Neurospora crassa OR74A: one gene and its partner. The protein of the gene in region 1 binds, or shares a complex with, the protein of each later gene. Links are inferred from orthologs where the notes say so. Each region holds a gene or a part of one and is shown on either strand. Other genes may lie near its edges. The genes, in order: dot and NCU06091.

Region 1 (4,562 bases):
CGACCCTTCGACACCGGCACGCTCCCCACCCACTCCTGTAGATGCACCGGGTATTTCTTCCATACGTAGCTCCCAAACTCCGAAACAGTCCCCGTCACAGGCTCAGCAAGCACAAGGCCCTCCGACCTGGGTGTTGGCCCCCTCGGGAGCTAGACTGACACCCGGTCGTTGGCCCGGGCGAGCATGCCTCGGTCCAACTTGGTCGAGGGGCAGCTTCTTCGCAATCTCGGTGAACAGGTTTTGCACGTTCTCGGCAGTCTTGGCAGAAGTCTCGAAGAAGAGAAGGCCGGCCTCCTTTGCATATGCCTGGGCGTCGGCCGTCTGAATCGCACGCTTATCGGGTTGCTCCTGCACGAGATCCAACTTGTTACCGGCAAGAGCGATAATGATATTCTCGTTTGCTTGGCGCTGAAGTTCCTTGACCCACGACTTGGCCTTGTCCAGAGATGCCTAGAAGGGGGTTACGTCAGCTCATGTCGCGCGGGCAGAGACAAGGACCTCGAGAAAGGCCACATACCGCCTGTGTGATATCGTAAACGACTACTGCACAGTTGGCATTTCTGTAGTACATGGGCGCTAGAGACTTGTAGCGCTCCTGGCCGGCGGTATCCCAGATCTCGAACTTGACCGTTGTGTTTTCGTCGAGAGCAATGGTCTGTGTTAGGAAAGCGGCGCCAATCGTGGATTCTCTGTACGAGTCAAACTGGTCCTGGATGGAGGTCAGTTGCCCGCTTCAATCCCATCAAGCGCCGAGTAGGAGCTGGGCGTACCTTGACGAAGCGCAAGACTATCGAGCTCTTTCCAACCGCCGATTCACCTGCATGCAGGTCAGCATCAAAGCCCCCCTCCACGAGCCCATTATCATTGTTACGAACCCAACAATACCAGCTTGAACTGGGCAAAGCGGTTTCCCATGCCGGGGCGCGCGCCGGGAGGTCCACGAGTGGCCATTATGGACAGATGATGTGGTGTGGTGTGGTGACGTTGATGTGTAGTCGGGAGATTAGACGGGGTTGCTGGCGAAGCGGGTTGCGGCGCTACCGGGGGTGGCCAGATTAATTAACCAAGAGATAAAAGGGCAAAGAGGTGTCAGGTGCTTGATTAGTCGTTTGCAGGTCGCCACTACAAAGGCTGGACGGGAACGTGACGCGCGAAGCAGCAAGTTTGGGTATCGGGTATGGAGTCGTTGAAGCAGAAAATCGAGGAAAACAGTTGTTGTTGAGTTCAAGACAAGACGTTTGTTGTTGAAGGTGACGGAGGGCGGGAGGAGCAGCACGCCGCCGAAAGGAAGGCCAGGGAACAGTTCAGTGTGGGAGTGCCTGGTGGTGGTGGTGGACGGGATGACTGGGGGCCCCGTGGACGGATTAGGTTCGCTTCAGTGTTTGGTGTTTAATGGACAGGGCGGCCGTCATTCTGGTGATGACGGGGAAGGTCAGGTCGCTGGAAGCACTCTGACTACGGCAGCCCACCGCTGCAGCAATCCACTGGCGGGAGCCCTCAGCAGGAGCCCCCGGGCAGGTTGTGCTGCAGGGCGGTGCAAGAAATGGCACGTGCACTCGGGTCTTTCTTTACACGTGATTGGGCCGGGAGAGGAAGGGTTGCGTCACGCCAGCAGTGGCTTTGATGATGACGGCCGGCAGGGACGGAGCTGACTGAAAGGGGCAGGCGGGCATTTCCTGGTTGTGTGTATGTGTGTGTGTGGTGATGATGTTTTGGGGGCAAGCACTTCCTTCAGCGGCTTCGAGTTTCATCGAGGTGATCAGGTCTCTGGATGCTACAGGTAGTGCGGTACCTACCTCTACCTCTACCTCTATGGTAGGTGCCCGGGCAGTGGCCACAATGTTCGACGGTGACGGGAGGTGGGATTCCGGGCAACTGAACAACTTAAAGTGGAAGTGTTCGTTCCACTGCATCGCATTGGATGTCCTGGAAATTCCACACGTCAACGCATCCGGGGAAGGCGCAGTGAGATTACCGCCCGCTAACAGACCCGCTACAAGGACCGGCAACAGGAGGCAAAACTTCCAGAGTTCAGGGCCCTGTAGGTCCATGTCCAGATCGGGACACTGTATCGAAACAACATAATTTCGGTCCATTTCATGACGAGGCCATCCCCAAGTCTGTTGCTGTCCCTTTTCATCCGTCCCTCAAGAACGTCGTCCAAGTGCTTCCCGTCGAGTCAGCTTCTACGATATCTGCAGACAACATACATTGCCTCATCATCATGACGCTCCCCTTCCGGGACATCAACGTCCAGGCCGCCTCGGACTCTTACATCTTCACCTCGCCCTCCAGTCCCAATGCGCCGGCCTTGACAATCGACCGCCCCACTGGCGATATCCGTCTGAGCGATGCCTCCCTCCTCGCCGGCAAGCGCGTTGCCCGCGTATCCAGCATCGCCGGTATCCTGGGTGTTGTCAGGTTGCGCCTAGGTGAGTGAGGACAACAATCAACCCCTGTATCGTCATGTAACTCCTTTCCGTAAACTTACCTACGTTTCGCAGATAAGTACATCATCGTCATCACCAAAGCGCAACCAGTCGGCCGCCTCAGGGGCCATATGGTGTACAAGGTTGTCGCGACCGAGTTCCTCCCCCTCCGCGAACGACAGATTCACGACCACGATGAGGACAAGTTCTTGAACTTGCTCAAGGGCTTCATCAAGTCCGGGCCCATGTACTTTTCCTACTCGCTCGACGTCACAAACACCAGCCAGAGACAAGCCCAACATGACCTCTCCACGCCTTTGTGGCAGCGCGCCGACGACCGCTTTTTCTGGAACCGATTCCTCCAGTCCGACCTCATCAACTTCCGAACCAAGGGCGGGAGGGGCTCTCCTGCTCCCCAGCCCGGCATCGACCCCTACATTCTTCCCGTCATCTTCGGCATGTTCGAGATCCACCCGACCACCTTTAAGGGTACCCCCATAACGATTGCCTTGATCACCCGCCGATCACGACACCGCGCTGGTACCCGTTACTTCTCTCGAGGCATCGATGCCGAGGGCCATGCCTCCAATTACAATGAGACGGAGCAGATCGTGGTCTTGAACGACCGTGGTAGCGGCTTGGGAGGTTTCACTGGTAGCGGCGACATGCAGAGTGGGAAGCTTGGTGGAAGTGACGGCAAGGAGATGCAGGTCCTGTCCTATGTGCAAACACGTGGAAGTGTCCCTGTCTACTGGGCCGAAGTGAACAACCTCAAGTATACCCCTACGATTCAGCTCAAGAGCACTGAGGCCGCCTTCCCCGCAGCAAAGGCGCATTTCGACGAGCAGATCCGTCTCTATGGCGACAACTATCTGGTGAACCTGGTCAACCAGAAGGGCCGCGAGACCCGCGTCAAGCTAGCTTACGAGCAGATGGTCGACCGCCTCGTATCATCGCCCAAGGAACGTGTCCAGTCCGACGCATTAACCGACGAAAAGTTCCACACCATCGAAACAAGCACTAAGCCCCAGACCTCCTTCGACCGCCTTCACTACATCTACTTCGACTTCCACGCCGAGACCAAGGGACTTCAGATGCACCGTGCCCAGCTCCTCATCGACAGGATGCACGAGGCCCTGATTGCCCAGCAATACTTCCGCGCCGTCGACTCTCCCGCCAGCCAGGTCAACGGTGGCCGTCTTGAAGTTCGCAACCTCCAGACGAGCGTAGTGCGCACCAACTGCATGGACTGCCTTGATCGCACCAACGTTGTGCAGTCCATGCTCGCGCGCTGGACGCTTGACAGGATGTTCATCGACCTTGGCCTCATGGCGCGCGGCTCCCAGTTCAAGGACGAGGACCCGGCCTTCGAGTTCATGTTCCGCAACATGTGGGCCGATAACGCCGACATTGTGTCCAACAGCTACGCCGGCACCGGCGCCATGAAGACGGACCTGACCCGGACGGGCAAGCGTACCAAGGCCGGCGCGCTCGCCGACGCCAACATTGCTGTGACGAGGTACTGCAAGAACAACTTCTTCGACGGTCCAAGGCAGGACGCCTTTGACCTCTTCCTGGGCGTCTACCAGCCCGGCGCAGCGAACATTGGTTCTCAGCTGGTCTTTGTCGACCGCAGGCCGGTGTTGATCCAGGCGATCCCCTACCTGGCCGCCTTTAGTCTGTTCTTTGTCTTTGTGGGCATGTGGACGCCCAGGCTACCCGATAGTGCCGTGTGGCCGATGAGGCTGTTCATCATTTTCTGGACGGCTGTCGCGGCATGGTCGTTGACATTTATCATTTCGAACGGCATGCTCTATGTGAGTTCATTCCTTGCTTTAATTCATTTAAATTTTTTACCCCTTTCTCTTAGGAGGTTTACTAACATGAACAAAAACAGGTTAACTGGCCAAAGCTGGTTCCTCGCCCCTGGGCCGTGGAAGGTTATCACGAGACCATCACCAAGGTTGTGCGCAAGGACAAGATCCTTGGGCCATTGGTCGCTAAGCATGAGCGCGGCCTTAGCACGGCGCGGTACATCAACGCCGAGGAGGGTAAGAAGAGGATTGAGTAAAGTCTTGTTGACGCGTGGAAAAATCTGGTTCGGCGGAACGATCACAATGTTGGCATATAGAA
Region 2 (4,511 bases), on another chromosome or scaffold:
GGAGGATCGGAAGCGGTCAGAGGCTATTGCCAGCTCGCGCAACTCTCCCCTAAGCATGCTCAGCCCCAAGGACGATGTTGAAACCAACTTTGCTTTCGGACGTCTCGCCTTCTCTGATGGTGTTCAGCTTTCTCGTGACGCCGCCTTTGTCAAGTCCGACGGAACCAAGAAGAAGGGCCCCACGGACGCCAAGTCCAAGCTTGCCAAGCTTGAGGCGCAGAAGAAGCGCCTCGAGGCCTTGCCTGAAGATAAGCGCAAGGAAGTCCTTGAGAAGGAGACGTGGCTCGCTGCTCGCAAGCGTGCCGAGGGCGAGAAGGTTCACGACGACGAGCACCTGCTCAAGAAGGCTGTCAAGCGCAAGGAGAAGGCAAAGAGCAAGAGCGCCAATGAGTGGAGAGAGCGCAAGGAGGGCGTCGCCAAGGCCCAGTACGATAGGTCAAAGAAGCGCGAGGAGAACATCAAGAAGAAGCAGGACGAGAAGAAGGCCCGCAAGATGGGCATCAAGGTCAAGAGCGGCAAGGGCGGTAAGGGTGGAGGAAAAGGTGCTTCCAAGGGTAAGAGCAGGCCTGGATTCGAGGGCGGATTCGGTGGTAAGAAGAAATAAGCGTCGGATAAGGTGTTCAGCAAGGGGTGTTTTGTCTTTTTGGAGAGAGATGTTGATACCACTGCTGCTGCATAGCGGCAGATGCTCGGGAGGCTGGCATATCCTTTTCCCATTCTTCTGCCTTGTCGCTACGTACATATTTCTTGCTGGAAGGGGGTAACAGGTGGTGTTTTTGGCGTTTGTTTTTTTTCCTCATGGTTTTTCGTTTCTTTTTTCTTTGCACGGTCGGAATGGAAAAAGAGATTATATCACACGTACATATCACAACTGGACCAGATCACGACAAGCGGTTAACATGGTACGAGGCTGGGCAAGCCTTGTCTTTTGTTCTTTTATACTTAGCTAGCTTTTAGTAGTGGTGGCGAAGGGAGGAGGTAGGGGCTGGAGGTCCCCCTTCTTCTTCAGCGAGGCAGCATCTTCAGGGAGTTAAAAAGTGATTATCAGCTCACCGAGTCTTTTCTCTTTTTTTGTCCGGTGACTTGAATTGGTGATGTGAGACGCATAGCTTCCCTTTCTTGCTTGTCTGATACCGAGGCGCTCTCCGGTGTAGGCGTTAAATTCCAGCTGTGAAATGAGGTGCTGTTAGTGCTGGGTGGTCGGACTCTACTTTATTCGCAATCAAAGCACTAACACGGCGCCTGGAAGCCGACATAATTCTAGGTGATGCTACACGATTTTATCATGATCGGAGCAACCCGTGTTCCGTTCCACAAGGGAAGCTTGGAAGGGGTTAATGACTTCATCCCTCGGTAGCATTGAACAAAGAAACAGCCGTTTCAAAACGTGGCCATTCAGAATATACAGGAAACACATAACCTAGCCATCTCCAACTGCACCCAAGTTTAAGGTTTGATACTTAGAACCCCTTTGCGCCGCAGGTGAACTGGACCCTGAGATTGGCTCTTGACCCGATTAGACTCCATCCGCCGCGCGGACCAGGACGGGATCCCACCTCTGGACTTTCTCTTTCTTTGACCGCTGCACAAAACAGCGTCCGGCACTGCTGCGCGCTGCCTGTGCCAACCAAAAGAGGGACCCGTCGAGCACCGACCCGTTACCTACGTACCTCTACATACCCGAGTCCACCACTCAGCCTCAACCAAACCTAACCATCCCCCCCCCCGTCGGTCCTGCTAGAGGTAGCCAAGAGAACACCAACAGACTAGCGAAACGACAAACACTCGCATCATCAAGAGCCGCGCCGAAGAGCGGCTTCCCACCACCCCCCAGACGACGACGACAACGAAGGACGGACCTCCACGTTCGGGACAATTGATCGACCAGGCTACTACCTCTACTAGTCGGCCTTACCCTTTCCTCTGAAACACAGGCTACACCCAGGCCTACCGAATCCCCAATCCGCAATCCTAATCCCCACGTGTTACCGCGAAACCGAAATTATTTCAATTCCCCCTGTCCGCGAAAACACGGGGAAATAATACCAGTGCACATACGCCCAAACTCGGCCGACCACATTCGCTTCGTGCCGCCCAATCATCACATCAGAAACAGTCCCCGATAAAGAAAAAAAAAACGAAGAAGAAGAAGAAGATGGCATCAACATCAGGCTTGACCCGGCGCAGGGGCGCGGGAGGAGGCAGCAGCGACGTCGGCGGCGGCGGCGGCGGCGGCGGCGCTTCCGACACGAGGGACGTTGGGCCCGACACGAGCTACGAGACGGGCGAGAACGGACACAGGATTGCCTTCGATCCCCGCGACCTGAGCGAGAGCGCAGAGAGGAGCAAGCAACCCAAGCTAACGCTGATGGAGGAGGTCTTATTGCTTGGCATCAAGGATCGCGAGGTTTGTCTCCACGTCTCTCTTTCTCTCAGTCTCGCTCGCTACACTATCCCTTTGTATGTTGTAGGGGCCTACCAAAGGGCTATCTTCTGACTATGGCTGGACTCGATATTGACGTTCGCCACGTGCTGCTCCTTGGACTGTTTTCATGATTCGGAATTCGGAACCTGGGCACGACGAGAGACGACATGGCTAACAAGACAACCCCCATCAGGGCTACCTTTCGTTCTGGAACGACAACATCTCCTATGCTCTTCGTGGATGCATTGTTCTCGAGCTGGCCTTCCGCGGCCGCATCAGTATGCAAAAAGACTCTTCCCGGCGGCGCTTCCCCCTGGCGGACCGAATCATCGAAGTCATTGACGACACTCTAACGGGCGAGGTGTTGCTGGACGAGGCCCTGAAGATGATGAAGACGAGCGAGAAGATGAGCGTCAGCTCCTGGATTGACTTGATGAGCGGTACGTGTTTGCGTCACTGCCCCATCTCCATTCCCCCCATGTCTATCGTGCACACCCAAGCGGAAGCAAACGTGCTGACATGACCTGTTAATACCACAGGCGAAACCTGGAACCTCATGAAAATCGGCTACCAACTGAAACAAGTCCGCGAGCGGCTCGCAAAGGGTCTGGTCGACAAGGGCATCCTGCGCACGGAAAAGCGCAATTTCCTACTGTTCGACATGGCCACACACCCCGTCGTCGAGGGCGCCGCCAAGGAGGACATCCGACGGCGTGTGCGCAACGTGCTGACGCAGCGCACCGTCGTGCTCACCCCGACCCAGTACCTGCCCGAGGACCTCGAGTTCCGGTACGTGCGGACAATCGCCATGGTGTGCGCGGCGCACGCAGCCAACGTGCTCGAGAACGCGCTGAGTACCCTCGGCCACGAGGCGAGGGAAAACGCCTTTTCCATGGCGGACGAGCTGTTGCTGCAGTACAGCCAGTGGCCGTTTGCGGCGAGGCCGTTGCCTGGTGGGAATGGTGGTGTGGGGGCGAACTTGCCGCAAGTTATTAATGAGGTACGTTTGTATGATTTCTTATCCAAGAGGTTCTGTTGGAAGAGGGAGAAAAAAGAACCCCTCCAAAAAAAAAAACCGAGCGGACTGTTCAAGCGAGAATTTTAGTTAACATATGCTCACCAAACAAACAGGAGGTCAACAAAGCAAAGGACAAGGAACTCCAGCTCGAAGTCGTGGCGGCTTGCTTGAGCGTATTCACTCGCCTTGACTCCCTGCTCTAAATGGCGCACGGCGGGAATTGTGAGAAAGCAAACAGCCCAGCCATTGAGGACAAGCGTGGGAGACACCCCGAAAAGCGAGAATGATGATGATGTGTTGTGCTGAGTGAGTGAAAGTCGGGGGAAGGAAGCCTTTTCACGATTACACTACGAACAAGGGGTGGTGGGTGGGCGCTGGGTCTTCGAGCGAGCGAGCGGGCAAGGGGTCAGTCAAGGCCGGCCTTCCTGATCCAACAACACGGAGGACGCAGCGCATTTTACCTGATTCACTCTATCACACCAGCGAAGCAACCGCGCAGAAGGGCCTACTATTTTACTTAATATCTTCACCTCGTCTCCTTGTATGGTAGGGTAGGTATGATGATGAACATTTTTTTTAATTTCCCTCTTTTGGTCTCCCACTTACTACTCTCTTCGAGGTCGAATAGGAGGAGGACGGGTTGGAGATGGTAAGAGGCTTGGGTTTTACTTGGAGGATATGAGAGGATTGGTGTGGATAGGTGGGCAGATACCGATGGACAATGAGGCGAAGCGAAGATGCGAAAATCAAAAAAGAACGGAAAAAAGAAAAATATGACAATGAAGGGATGAGTGCGTCGACCGGGGCGAAAGCGTAGTGTAGTGGTCTCACACATTGATTGATGCTGCACGTTTTCTGTACGTCTACTACACCTCTTACTTTATCATGGAAGTAATGGAATATGAACAGGATTAGGTTAGAGAAAGACGGTGGCGGTAACCCCATGGCAACCAAAATAGCTAAATTTTCAGTGATGGGTACGAAAAAAAAGGCATATGCTTTGTTCAGTCGTTTAGCCACATGTGTACCCTGACTTTAAATCCATGCTGTCATCTAGCTATAATACAG

What was found.
Region 2: the proteins of dot (region 1) and NCU06091 are in contact, whole or in part, in a crystal structure (PDB 4TU3), measured with the Saccharomyces cerevisiae proteins. The link is inferred for Neurospora crassa OR74A from reciprocal best matches to the Saccharomyces cerevisiae genes SAC1 and VPS74. Residues at the interface, in NP_012710.1 of Saccharomyces cerevisiae: Gln9, Tyr69, Ile95, Ser97, Thr98, Lys99, Phe100, Asn101, Ser102, Arg103, Ile104, Ile112, Glu116, Lys120; in NP_010660.1 of Saccharomyces cerevisiae: Ser164, Gly165, Glu166, Thr167, Trp168, Asn169, Leu170, Leu171, Lys172, Ile173, Gln176.

The regions. Positions count from the first base shown.
Region 1 is NC_026501.1:6,839,803-6,844,364, reverse strand, and holds the start of dot (synaptojanin-1), read left to right. Parts: upstream 1-1,709; 5' UTR 1,710-2,224; coding exon 2,225-2,432; intron 2,433-2,504; coding exon 2,505-4,246; intron 4,247-4,326; coding exon 4,327-4,500; 3' UTR 4,501-4,562. Other genes in the region: NCU00895 (RAB GTPase Ypt5), read right to left, coding at 103-450, 518-709, 771-817, 876-951. UniProt on the Saccharomyces cerevisiae protein: Phosphoinositide phosphatase which catalyzes the hydrolysis of phosphatidylinositol 3-phosphate (PtdIns(3)P) and phosphatidylinositol 4-phosphate (PtdIns(4)P). Has low activity towards phosphatidylinositol-3,5-bisphosphate (PtdIns(3,5)P2).
Region 2 is NC_026507.1:1,844,774-1,849,284, reverse strand, and holds NCU06091 (vacuolar protein sorting-associated protein 74), read left to right. Parts: upstream 1-1,407; 5' UTR 1,408-2,155; coding exon 2,156-2,407; intron 2,408-2,618; coding exon 2,619-2,865; intron 2,866-2,964; coding exon 2,965-3,425; intron 3,426-3,556; coding exon 3,557-3,646; 3' UTR 3,647-4,454; downstream 4,455-4,511. Other genes in the region: NCU06090 (hypothetical protein), read left to right, coding at 1-604.